2 linked regions of the Arabidopsis thaliana genome follow. The protein of the gene in region 1 interacts with the protein of each later gene in a pairwise test. Each region holds a gene or a part of one and is shown in the gene's direction. Other genes may lie near its edges.

What was found.
Region 2: the proteins of ER (region 1) and AT4G07950 interact in a two-hybrid assay, tested with the Arabidopsis thaliana proteins (one large-scale study listed by BioGRID).

Annotation. Positions count from the first base shown.
Region 1 is NC_003076.8:3,417,160-3,424,225, reverse strand, and holds ER (enhancer of rudimentary protein), read left to right. Parts: upstream 1-3,533; 5' UTR 3,534-3,669; coding exon 3,670-3,672; intron 3,673-3,925; coding exon 3,926-4,031; intron 4,032-4,474; coding exon 4,475-4,595; intron 4,596-5,229; coding exon 5,230-5,329; 3' UTR 5,330-5,616; downstream 5,617-7,066. Other genes in the region: AT5G10830 (S-adenosyl-L-methionine-dependent methyltransferases superfamily protein), read right to left, coding at 1-212, 346-495; AT5G10820 (Major facilitator superfamily protein), read left to right, coding at 1,060-1,719, 1,827-1,931, 2,135-2,305, 2,775-3,350; AT5G10800 (RNA recognition motif (RRM)-containing protein), read left to right, coding at 5,844-5,929, 6,006-6,139, 6,317-6,362, 6,656-6,716, 6,816-6,962, 7,059-7,066. UniProt on the Arabidopsis thaliana protein: May have a role in the cell cycle.
Region 2 is NC_003075.7:4,794,268-4,801,126, forward strand, and holds AT4G07950 (DNA-directed RNA polymerase, subunit M, archaeal), read left to right. Parts: upstream 1-3,573; 5' UTR 3,574-3,884; intron 3,885-4,619; 5' UTR 4,620-4,642; coding exon 4,643-4,838; intron 4,839-5,118; coding exon 5,119-5,243; 3' UTR 5,244-5,528; downstream 5,529-6,859.

The DNA of each region.
Region 1 (7,066 bases):
ACTGAGTAGAACCTAGGGAGATCGAACCAGTGTACGCCTTGGGCGACCGTGATTAGATCCACTGAGTTTTCTCCTCCGATTAATTCCACTAGCTCGTCGTCGGTCATTGACGTCGGCGTATGGCGATAATTGATTTTCGGATGTGGCGTTGCTAGCTTCAGCTGCGATTCACTCACGTCCGTTGCTACGACACTCTCGTAATGCTCTGCAACCTGCAAAATGGAGGCGAAATTTGTCAAATCCAAGATCTGATGCATGTTGTTGTGATCATTTACGAGCAAGAAGCTAAATCTGTTAAATCTAAGTTTGAAGCTCTATAAAAATTTATGAGCATCAAATACTGACGGCGAGAGCTGCTTGGCCATTTCCGGTGGCAGCATCCCAGGCTAAACCGTGGTGATCGGTGAGATCAGCGAGCTTCGAGAACCACTCAGAGGGGTAATTAGGTCTGGCGTCAAGGTATAGATCGGCTTGTTTATCAAACAATCCTGCCATTTTCTCTCTGTTTTGCTTCTTCTTTTCTTTCTCTCTTTTTTCTGATTAGTGTCTAGCCATGACTCTCTAGTCATATATAGTAGTCTTTTTAGCTTGTGGGAATCTCAAAGATAATGACCTCCAACGAAGCAGCATATCGCTTTCCTTCTCTATTTTTTAATTGGATTTTGAAGTAATTGTTTAGGTGTTTGTTGATGTTGATTAGGATTTTTGAGTTTCGGTGGGAAGATGAAACATTTGACTTTCTCTTTTTGCTTTCAAGATCTGTCAATCATACTATCGAGTTTGTGAATTTTGGCTAATAAAGCGATTTGGTTTCGTTTTTGTAGAATTTCAGACTGGTAGTTGAAGAAAGACGTCATTGCTTACAAAGTCAACAAGGTAAATGTCATTGTCAAGTGGGAAACTTTATAATATATCTTTTGTTTTTCCTCGTGTGTGAATGTCTAAACCTTTTTGAAAGTCTAAAAGGCATTTCCTTTACATTGAAAATAACGATTAAAGGCTCTTGCTCTCGATATTTTGATTTCAGATCCAATGTTCATCTCCTAAACAGTCAACACCATGGAAACACTAGAAACTGAGAAATTCTTCTCAGACGATAAACCTCTCCTAAAACCAATTTCAGATCATTCTGAGATCAAGACAAAAGCAAGAAGAAACGCTGTCGTCTCAGTTCTAATTCAGCCCTTCCAATGGTTACAAATGCTGAGTTCTAGGCTAAACCTGAGCTTCGTGCTAGGTGTGGTCCTTGTGTACGGTGTAAACCAAGGGTTCTCTGGTTCGATATTCAAAGTCGTCACAGACTATTACTGGAAAGATGTCCAGCAAGTGCAGCCATCGGTTGTGCAGCTTTACATGGGGTTATATTACATTCCATGGGTCATGAGACCCATTTGGGGTCTCTTCACCGATGTGTTCCCTATCAAAGGTTACAAAAGAAAGCCGTATTTTGTAGTTTCTGGTGTTCTTGGTTTGGTATCTGCGATTGCTATTGTTGTTCTTGGTAAGTTGCCCGCTGCTTTGGCTTTGAGCTGCCTCTTAGGTGTCTCTGCAGCTATGGCCATTGCAGATGTGGTGATTGATGCGTGTATAGCAACAAACAGCATCAATATCCGATCTTTGGCTCCTGATATACAGAGCCTTTGTATGGTTTGTTCATCTGCTGGCGCTTTGGTTGGATACGCAACTAGTGGAGTCTTCGTTCACCAGCTTGGACCTCAGGTTGAGCCTTTACACCTTTTTAGTCACGTTTTCAGGACGTGTTCCCTTTAGATATCGAGATTAGAAACTTGAAATCTCGTTTTTCTGTTTTGTTTTTTCTGATATAGGGAGCATTAGGGGTATTAGCATTTTCGCCTGCAACTATCGTCATACTTGGGTTTTTCATCTACGAGAAAAGATCTTCTACTGTTCCTACACAAAAGACCAAAAAGGTGAGGCCTTAGCCTGTAATCTCAACTCCTTTGATCTCTCTCACAAGTGACCAGAATTGGCGTCGCAGCAGAATAATCCAAACAGAAATTTTCCTTGTCTTTATTTGTTTCTGCCGGATTATTGAAAATTCATGCCTCTTGACTTTATCTCATGACTTGGAATCTTGATCGAACTCTTGAGCAATCGTTTGAATTTTCTTCAGGACACAGATGGCTTAGGAGTAGCGGTGAAGGGAATGTGCAAAACAGTAAAGTACCCTGAAGTGTGGAAGCCATCTCTTTACATGTTCATATCCTTAGCTCTCAACATCAGCACTCATGAAGGCCACTTCTACTGGTACACTGATCCTACAGCTGGGCCCGCCTTTTCCCAGGTTGGTTGTACAATCCTGAAGAAGCTCTTTTTAAAGATCTTGATTTAAAGAATAAAGATAGTGGTTAAACAGTTTGGGTCTTATATAGATTGAGTTCATAGGAACCAGTATAGTTACTAAACGACATGGGAAGCTAGCAAAAACAGGTTCCCATGGATCGCAAGCTCAAGATTGACACTGTGGTAGTATGTCATGATATTATGTGAATCATATTTCAGACTGTTTCGCTGGTTTATATTAATCTCCATGGAGTCACTTCTCTTGAAAGCCTATTTTAGCTAGGAAAAATCTTGTCTTTAGGTTTGTGAATATCTGCATGCCTTATGAAATGGTGTTGAAATTATGATTGTGTGGTAGTGTCACATTGACATATAAAGCTATGGAGTTTCTGAACAAGCTAATAAAATTCTTTATCCAATAATGTAATTATGAGCTAGATTCAAACTTGCTTATTTTGGTCTAAATGCAGGAGTTTGTGGGAATAATCTATGCAGTCGGGGCATTGGCATCTATGTTTGGAGTTCTCATATATCACAAGAAGCTCAAAGGCTATTCCTTTAGGAACATACTCTTCTTTGCACAACTTCTATACGTCTTCTCAGGAATGCTTGATCTAGTCTTCATCAAACGCTGGAACTTAACTCTCGGGATACCAGATTCCTTGTTTGTGATAACCGAAGAATCTTTCACGAAGATGATAAGTAAGATCAGGTGGATCCCCATGGTGGTTCTCAGTACAAGGCTTTGTCCTCTGGGAATCGAAGGCACCTTCTTTGCTTTCCTCATGTGCATTGATAGTTTTGGACAGCTTGCTTCTAAATGGGGTGGAGGGTTTGTTCTTCACGCTTTTGGTGTCACGAGACACGATTTCGGAAATCTCTGGCTCGTGATTCTGATAAGGAATATTTTGAGACTCGTCACTGTGTGTTTCGTTTTCCTCGTTCCAGATTCCGATCATTTGGATGATCTTGTACCTTCTGATGTGTTGCCAAAGAAACAATCAGAAGATGATGATGATGACGACATTAAACTTTTGCTTCTGTAAAGCTATTTTGTATAACATGAAACATTTCGAACAGTAAATGCCTAACATGAACAATTTCAAAGAAACAAAATCTACTAATCAGATGGAAACAGCTTGTAGTTTTTTCATATTTTAAAGGAAATACATGCCGTTTTGTCGTACTATATCTGATGTCACATGTTAAGCGACAGAGACCCTATGTTATTTTACGATTTTGCCCTCTTGTTGGGTTATACAGTATTCGTTTTTCTCTCTCAAACAGTGAAACTTCTTCTTCTTCTTCTCGTCTTCGTCGTCTAAACCTCAAACTCTGCTAGCGAAGTCACAATATCACTCGAAGATGGTAATCGATTTCTTCTCCTAACGTTCCTTTTGTGTAGTTTTAGTGATTCCTTAGTCAATCGCGAAGAAATTTGAGCAAATCCTTTTGGTTAGATCGTGTTAGGTTTTCGAATATCGTTCCTTACGCAGTTTGAATCTCAGTTTCTGATGATTTCTCGTTAGTTTACGGAACATAGAGAAGGAAATTCAAACTTGTTTTGATTGTCTCAGTTCTTATAAGCTGACTATTATCAACTTTCTTCTTTGTTGTGTAGGCTAATCACAACAGTAGTAGGCACACAATCATCTTGTTGCAGAATTCTCCGAGCAGAGCTACGAGGACTTTCATGGACTATGACTCTATAGGCCAAGCTATGGATGGTAATTATTAATTTCGAATCATCATTCTCTAACTAGTCTACTCATTGTTGACTTTGGTTATGATTATGTTGAGGTTTATCTTTGTGGCAACAAGATGGATGATTTTGAATTACGACATGTATATTATATAATTCTGTAGCTATTTCTGTGACTTATTAGGAAGTTCAGATTTTAGTACCAGTGCTATAAGCTGATTGATATATAGTGTGTGATGAGTCTGCTCGGTAATAAAGTGGTAATAAAGTGGTTTGTATTTTGATTACTAACTTGTTTGCTCAATAAAGTGGAGGAATTAGCAATGTAGAAGAAATGTAGGTTTCTTAAGTTCATTACCTCTCTTCCGAGTGTTTAAGTGAATTAAGGAAGCTGTTTTTTTGTTTTTGGTTTTGTAGAAGCAATAAGTTTTTAGCTTGCAACGCTGATTTTTTTCTGGTCGTAAACAGGTATTTGCGGCTTATATGAAAGGAAGTTGAAGGAAATTAACCCTTCTCTCAGAAATATTAGCTATGACATTGCTGACCTTTACAATTTTATTGATGGTCTTGCTGACTTGAGCGCTTTGGTGTAAGTCTTGCCCCTTTCTCTTCTCTTAAATGCTTTAGGTCCTTCCAGGTACTGTCAAATTCACATCACCCTTTCACATTTTTACATAAACTAAAAGGAGGATCCACATTGCATCATCTATAAAGAGCATGAATTGTGTTTATTCTTACTCTTTCCCTCTAAATAATAGTATTCTGTTCCCACTCATACCATTCTTTTGAATTCCTGGATGTTTTGGTAGTCGTTAAAAACATTTAGGAATGTTTAAACTCAAAGCTGCAACAGGCACATGCACAGTTGTTCTTTTGCAAAGAAACTTTCTTCAGAAATTCTCTCTTAATATTCGATAAACTGCATATATCTTGTTCTTAACTAGTTCTCCACTTGCAAGTTCACAGTAGATATTATAGAAATCTCTTGCTAGTAATGTTTATAGAGATTAGTAGGATTCCCATGTTGTATAACAAAACTGTCAATGATCATTTAATTGCTAGTTTGCTACTAAGTTCATTGATAGCTTGGTGCTAATTAAACAAGTAAAGAATCATTATTAGTATCATGATTTTCCTAAAAAGATGGTTATTGCGTGTGAATCGTGAAGGGATTTGTCAATGTTCTTATGATTTTCTAACAAAATCCTCTGGTCATTTTGCAGCTATGACCACTCGATAAGTGCATATCTGCCATATGACAGGCAATGGATTAAGCAGAAGGCATTTCACCATCTGAAGAGAATTGCCAATGGAGGCAGATGAAGAAGAAGCATCATATGAAATTGTCTTACCTGAAGAAACATATGTTGAGAGAGGCCATTTAAAGCATCATCACTCGTTATTATATATATTTGCCAATGTAACATTAATTAATATGCATAGAAAGAGTTGTGGTTCTCTTGGATGTGTTAGCCACTAAAAGTATCTTTGCTATCCAAATTTTAAGCTCATTTCTAGTTTCTATATCAAATTCTTCTTCTCAAATTGATGAGATATTTTGAATCGTCCTCGACTAGAAATTATATCATACTTCGTATAAAGTAATCTTTTTGTTAATAAGTAATCTGATGATATAAGATTTGTAAATTTTAAGTGAACAAAAAAAGAGTGTGTATTATTCTCTTTACCAAGAAAAAAACTGGGTTAAGACTGAACTCTGAAGAAGGTATTTTCTGGAGCATTTTAACCTTTATCTCTCAATCTGCGTTGAGACTAGAGACCATTTTGGTGCCGTGCTATTATCGATTGACAAATTTCCGATTCTGAGAAAAGTTGGATGGTGAAAGATGAGTTCTTTCTCGATCACCCTGGAAGAAAACACCGTTCCAGAAACACAGAGAAGAAGAAGAAGCCAAGAAGAAGGTTTGTTTCTTCTTTTCTTAGCTACCAAAATCCTCAATAGCCTCTATTGGTTTGAATAAATTTATGGTAAATGCAGAGAGCGGAGGATGAAACAGCTCGTCTGTATCAAGAGTCCGTGGAATCGTTTCAAGGGGATAATGCTGCAGCTAAGACTTTTGTTAGAGGTGACAATCAATCCCAATGATAATAAGCTCAAGCCTGATTCTCAAGGTTAGTCTCTTGGAAACCCGACATTGCTTCATCTAGTAGAACTGGAGGCTAGTTTTTCTGTGTTTCATTGAATTGTTTTGATCATGTAGATTGGTAGAATTATGTTTCTATTACATTGAGAAACATGTTAATTAAAAAAAGTATGGACGTTTTCTTCTATGCATTCACGGATCACAGGTGAAAAGTCCAGAGATGGGGATTCCATTTCAAAGAAGGGGAGTAGGTATAACTGTGATTGCTTTTGATTAATCAATCTCTGTCATATCTAATTTCTAGTGTAGGCCTCTTTGATGTGTTTGTTACAATGCTAGAGTTAATTCCATTTCTCTTGTGTTTGTGATGTTTTGGAGTACAATAAACTTCTGTCATCTGCACATAGCAGTTAGCTGAGGTTTCCTACTTCATCAGTATAAACTGTGGGTTTTGAGATGTTGTCCATGCGTATGGCTTGATAAGTTAAAACCAATGTCCATGCTCTTGTGATATAGAAGATTGTCTTCCATGTAATTTCTACAGGTATGTTCCCTCCTTTCTCCCCCCACCATTGGCATCTAAGGGTAAAGGACCAGAGAATAAGGTCAGTAGTTAGAGACCATATCAGTATTTTATATTATTCTGGTTCCTGATTTAAAGTAATGGTTTAACTGATTATTAGTACAATTTTTCCTCTTTCTAGAGGGATGAAGAGAGATCAAAGGAGATGGAAAAGGGAAAGACTCGAAACATAGATCATTTTGTGGAGGAGCTCAAGCGTGAACAAGAAATAAGAGAAAGGCGAAACCAGGATCGCGAGAATTCCCGTGACCATAATAGTGATAACACGGTATGTCGTCATAGTCTTTACTTTTAACCAAATACGTACTGTTGTTTATTTAGAGATACGTACTGCTTTCTGGTATTAAGGCTGTACTTCTCTCAGTCATCTAG
Region 2 (6,859 bases), on another chromosome or scaffold:
TACTCTACCAGAAAATAAAGAGATTCATACCGATATCACTTGGACCATTTCTAAAGATCCGTCATTTTGGAAACAATATCAGAAATGAAGAAAAACCTTCTCTAACGTAAATCGAAAATAGGTAATTTAATTACCGTAATTAATAATAATACCAATTTGAACAAATATCTTTTGCACTTCTGAAACGGTTGCGTCTTTTTATCCTAATTTTCGTTAAAATATATACGTTTATGTTTTTACGGCTGTTTTTTTTGTCACATTTTTTCGTTAAAATATTTATGATATTTTTTTGAATGTTATTTTGTTTGACTACAATAGTATCTTTTCGCAGATAAATGGTTGCGTGCGTCTTTTTATCGCAATTTTTTGTTAAAATATTTACGGTTGTGGCTTTTTATTGCATCTTTTCGTTAAATTATTTATTGTTATCTTTTTTGACAGTTATGTTTTTTCAACTACAGTCATATCTTTTCAGTTTAGGGTTGTGTTTTTTTATCGCATCATTTTGCTAAAATATTTACGATTTTTTTTTTTGATAGTTATATTTGTTCAAAATACAATTGTATCTTTTCAGTTTGCGATTGTGTCTTTATTGTTGCATATATTCATTTAAAGTTACGTCTCTACATTATATTTCTTTGCATTTCTTTTCACTACTTTCCGTATAAACAAAGTTGTTTATTTAAATGTTTATGATTTTTGAACTCTATATATTTGTCTTTCTTCCTAACCATATTTTGTTCATTCACACATATTATTTGTTTTATGATGAATTAAAAAATGATAATCTGGAAAATGGCTCCAAATTCTTTACTCTCTAAACTATTTATAAACATACTTACATACATCATTTTAATATGAAAGAAATTGCTCTAATTCTTGATCTAACCAAAGTTTTTTGGAATCTAATAGCAATAACAATCTCAATAAATGTCTTTTGCATTTCTAAACGGTTGCGTTTTTACCGCAACTTTTCATTAAAATATTTAAAATTTGTTTTACGGTCGTGTTTTTTTTGTCAAATATTTTTAAAATATTTATGGTTATGTTTTCGGACAGTTATACTTGTGTAACTATAGCCGTATCTATTTGATTCTGAATGGTTGTATCTTTTTATCGTAACTTTTTATTAATATTATTTGCGGTTGTATCTTTTTATCGTTATTTTTGTTAATTGCATATTTTGGTAAAACTTATGTAATAATTCGAATATTTGAATTATTATTATAATAATTTAATACATAAATATTAGGCTTGGGCGTTTGATTATGCTGTTCTAGCCTCTTAGGATCCATAAGGGAACCAAAAAAGTTTCGGTTCGGTTCAGATACTTAGAAAGAGAGCCGACAAATTACCAAATTCTAATAGATATCGGTTCGGTTTTGATCATTTTACTCAAAATACCAAAAAAAGAAACGAAAAATATCCGAAACTTTTTTACCAAAATAATAATGGTCCAAAATATTAAAAAATTAACAAAACTTTTTTGGGTGATAGGTTTTTTAAAAATGTATTGGCTTAGATGTAGTTTTGTATAGAGTTGACCAAATATTTTTTGGTTCGATTTGGGTATCCATAGATATCCGTTTCGGTTTGCGTATACCGTATATCCAATATCCAATATCCAATGGATAGTTTGACTGAGATTCAACAGGAGTATTTAGTGGTATCTTGATACGAACCGGAACCCTTTTTCAGCTTGGTTTGGTTTGGTTCTTTGGTTCCGGTTTTTATGCCTTGATCGTTCTAACTTCTATCGTTAAGTGAAGTAGTGGTTACTTTTCAAGAAATTTTACAAAGCCGAAATACTAAAAAATTTGGGGTCGATTGGTAACGACTGTTATATTTGGCTATACAGACTTTGACTATAGAAATTTTGGTTGTAGAGAATTTGGCTGTAAAGACTTTGACTTTAAAAACTTTGGCTGTTAAAGTATGATTGGAACTAAAAACTGTAGAAACTGTTACTATTATTTTTACAATATATATTTAGAATTGTGAATTATTTGAAAATGAGTTTTGTGATAATATACTAACAAAATTAATTTATTATAAGTTTTAGAAAAATACAAAATAAAATAAATAGATAAATATACTCAAATCTCAGTAAATAAAAAATATATTTAATCCATATAAAGATCTGATTAGGTGTTTTGGATCAATGAACTATCACTGTGATGCAATTGATGCAAAAAAATAATGAAAACTGGATCTCTAAAAAGTGAAAATAGAAAGATGATTATTAATTAATCAAAATATTTTTGAGTTAAATTACTTATTGATAGAGAAATTGTTTTTCATTTGTCATGGAGAAAACGAAAAGAAAAAAAAAAGAAAAACAGATTTTATTTTATTATTTGTTTTATAGCCCAAAAAGTCTCACATTGTGACTTTAAAAAACTGAACCTGAATTGAATAAAATAAAGCAGTTAATTTATTTTCCATCATCCGGGAGTGTGAGAGAGTTCTCTCTCTTATCTCTCTAATATCTTTTAGAGAGAGAGCCACATCCAAGTTTCTTTTGATGTTCCACAAAATCCATTAACGTCGTCCAGTTTCTTAACGCTGGCTTTGAGTCTGACATCCACCGGCTTCTCATGCAGTAGTTGGTCAGCTTCTTTCACGGCATCATCTGGCTTTGTTAGCAGAGATGTCCGATCCGCCGTCCGTCAATGCTTTTCACAGCGTTTGTCAGCTTGCTTCTGGCATCCGTCGGCTTCTTAAGCGACGGTTGGCTGGCTTTGGGGTTTTGTTTTTATTTTCGTTTTCTCTCGATTCATTTTGCTTTAGTTTGTTTGGATTTAGTTTGCGTTTTAATCCTTTGATTTGACTGCATAATTCTCTGATCCTTCTTTGTTTAAAGAGCTTAATTCGATTTTCAAGCTAATTTTCTCAATTTTAAAAATCGGATTTGAAGTTGCGGATTGGAGTTGTCGTTGGATTGATTTTAACGTAATTGAGGCTAATTTCTTCTTACCAAAGCATGTGAATCGTTTTATCTTTCCTGTTTTTTAGGTTTAATAATGGAAGCCTTGTCAGCTTATCTTTTAAGTCGATGATCCCGGAATTCATGAACTGCGTTTATCCATGGAAGATTTCAATTTTGCAGATCTAACGGCGAAGTTTGTTTGGGATTCTCTGAATTTGGTGGTGATGTTCATCGGATATTGTTGAGCCTTGATGTATTGATGCTCGTTACGACTTTTTCCGGTGACTAAGAATTCCTTTCGGTTGCAAACTATGTCGGCTGACCGACGATGACCTAAAACTCCGACGTCTCACGTGTTATCATCATTGTCTCCTTTCGTGACACGTGTATCTGTGCTGGACATGATCGACTCTTCCTTCAACCAGTGGTTTCATGAATTGTTGGGCTTATGTTTGTAATGGGCTTCTTTTTGCCGTCTCTGATACCGGGTTTGAATAACCGGTTTGAGCGTTTGTCTCTTTGTACTTGAAGTATTGTAAGATGTTATGCTTTTAATAAAAAAAACTTTTATGTGAAAAAAAAAAAAGAATAAAATAAACCAGTTACCTCAGATTCCTTGGATACTTCAAAAATGTCGGTTTGCCTATGAATCATAGACTTTAAAAGCTTTTAAATTAAATAAAGTCCTTAAAGTGGGATTAGTAAATTTTTGGCTTTTAATTTTTGTTCCAATCAACCCCTAAGACACTCAAGAAAAGAAGAAGAAGCATAAAAAGAGGCCTAAATGCCCAGAGAATTAAACAAATGGGCCTTAATATATAAACAAACATCAATCTCTCGCCGTCAAAGGTTACATCTATCGCCGTCAAAGGTTCCATCTATCGCCGCCGCTGAGACCGCCACTTTAGGCCGTCTCGTCCGCAATCTCCGTAACCAACACCACCCGCATCGCCTGGTAAGCTCGATTTTTTAATCATTTCGATCTCATATGATGTCGATCTGTTCAATCTTGCGAATTCGATCTTTATTTTGTTCTGAGATTTAGGGTTTCACGAATTTGTGTTCTAGGTTTTCTGGCTTAATCATTTTTATTGTTAACTGTTCTGATTGGTTCTTATGCTTTTGGTTACACAAAGATCTCGACTTTTTGTTGACTCTGTATGCAAATTTGTCAAAAGTCAAAACGTTGTTACAGAAACTCTCTTTCGTGCTTGTGTTTATGTATGAACAATAGCTTCGCTATTGGGTTTGTTGATTTCACCACACTTGATTAAATATGTATATTCTATTGAAAATGTGGTCAATCTTGGCAATAAAAATTGAATTGTTGGTTTAGAATGTGGTCGTCACTCGTGAGTATAGATTGGATTAGTGGATCGAATTATTAAGTCAGTGGATTGAATTGTGGTATTATTAAATTGCTAGATTTTGGAGTTGGTTTCATTATTAAACCAAAGTCTAATGAATGTAAAGTTGAATTTATGGAAAAGTATTGGTTATTTCCGGTTAAGAATGGATTACTTGAATTATAAGTTACTTCATGACCTGCCTTGCTATTAAAGTAAAAACTGGTTGTTACACGAACACAGTAGAACAATGTATTAAAAACAGCCCTTCCCTCTCTCTGTCTCTATATATCTGTCTATATCATAGTTTTATGAATTGATTTTTGTGGGGGATGATTTTGCAGCGAATTGATCGGTGAGGTGGAAGATGGAGTTTTGTCCCACATGTGGGAATCTGTTGCGCTACGAGGGAGGTGGGAGTTCGAGATTCTTCTGTTCCACATGTCCATACGTTGCCAATATCGAAAGACGGGTTGAGATAAAGAAGAAGCAACTTCTGGTTAAGAAATCTATAGAACCTGTTGTTACTAAAGATGATATACCCACAGCTGCTGAAACAGAAGGTATTTTCAGTCTCTGGTCTTCTCTTATTCTAAATTTAGAACTGTGATTAGTTAGTTAGTCCATGCTCTGTTGATTGGTCGACTAAATTCGTAAATACTTTAAAGTTGATTGGTGGAAATCAGTTACATAATTACTCATGTTATGGAAAGGGCAAAAACAATAATGCTAAAGTGGTATTACATCATTCATGGTATGCAAGTGCAAAAACACTTGGGGAAAGAGTAGAGTAGACTTTTTGTTCAATGACTTTCTCATGTTGGGATTGTTTTGTTTTAACAGCTCCATGTCCAAGGTGTGGCCACGACAAGGCGTACTTCAAATCAATGCAGATTCGTTCAGCAGATGAGCCAGAATCAAGATTTTATAGATGCTTGAAGTGCGAGTTCACTTGGCGTGAGGAATGAACCGATGATCATCACCTTCTCTGTACCCGCTAATTTTGCAATCTTCTTTGAGTTTGTTTTACCATTACAAAGTTTGTAGTTCCTCTATGTACTCTGGTTCTTTCTGTCTCAGAGCTCAAGAGTTTCTGTATTTAAAACAATCGATAAAATTTTGGAATATTGTGCAAAGTTTTAATTTTTGAGGTGAAGAATGTAAGCAAATTGATCTGTTTTGAGATTTTTAGTATCAAGACTGCGATGTATTTGTTATTGCATTGGTATTTGACTTCTTCCTCTTCCTCTGTTAACGTAACCTCCAGATTTCAATTTCTCACATTTCTTCGTCTTCTTAGCAAGAAGATGTCTAAGCAGAGGAAAAAAACTGTATTAGCCACCGTTTTTCGCAAGTCATGGTACCACTTAAGGCTCTCGGTGTGCCATCCCACTAGGTTCCCGACTAGCAACTAGTTCTGAATAGGCGAAGCTTTACGAGTGGCAGCTCCGGCAAGCTAAACGTATGGGACGAATAGCTAGCTCCACTATCGACTTTGGTCGTTCTTGATCCAGATGGCAAACGGATCGGGTATGGTGCTACTACTCTCAACGCCATTTATTCTCTCGCTCGCCATTATGAGAAATCGGGTGTTGATCCTGGTCCCGAGATACACATTGTGTTGACAGGTTAGATTATTCATACGATGGAAAGTATTCCTCACACTTCCTTATCTTGCAGCTCATGACCCTGATAGTCTTGTTCCTCTCCTTTTTGATCATATTCTTGCTACCGCTTCATGTGCAAGATAAGCTTTCAAAGACAACGGTGATTTCCTTTTTTAAGCTATGTAAAACAGACAAGGATGTGTGGATGCTGATTTTTGAGTTTCATTTGTGAAGGTGGATTATTTATTGGAGACGTCCTTCCTTGTTTTGATGCTTTTAAAATCACTCCCCTAAAGAGGCAGCTTCCATAGTTACTGTGCCTAACACTCTCGATATTGCCTCCAACCATGGTGTTATTGTCACATCCAAATCTGAGTCTCTTTCTGAAAGCTATACAATCAGTTTAGTCAATGATCTTCTAGAGAAGCCTATAGTAGAGAAGCTTGTCAAGAAAGATGCGATCTTACATGATGGACGGACACTCCTAATTAACACTTGGATAATATCTGGGGCAGAGCATGGTTAGACCTGATCGCTCTTGGATGCTTGTGCCAACCCATGATCTTAGAGCTTATTCCTAAAGAATGACATTGTAATTCACACATTACTCTTCTTGAAGTTGACATATTGTAAATGCAAAATATCAATGCCTTTAAAGAAAACAAAAACTAGTTAAAGAACTGCAAATATCACATGAAACGGAAACCATCAGTTTCTTTTCACATTTTTGTATCTCTTTTCTGTTTCATATTACACAACAATTCCCACAAGCTTTTTTGAGCTTTATTTTGAGTTCTTCATTATATATAATTACTAGATAAGGTCCGCCTATATAGGCGGGTGTATAGGCGGATGTAAGATAAAAATTTATTCAAATATTCATTAAGAATATTTAAATTTTAAATAGTAAATATTGATCCAGACATTTTTTCTAATATTTAATTTGGAAATATTTGTATTAAATAAAATTTTAATCA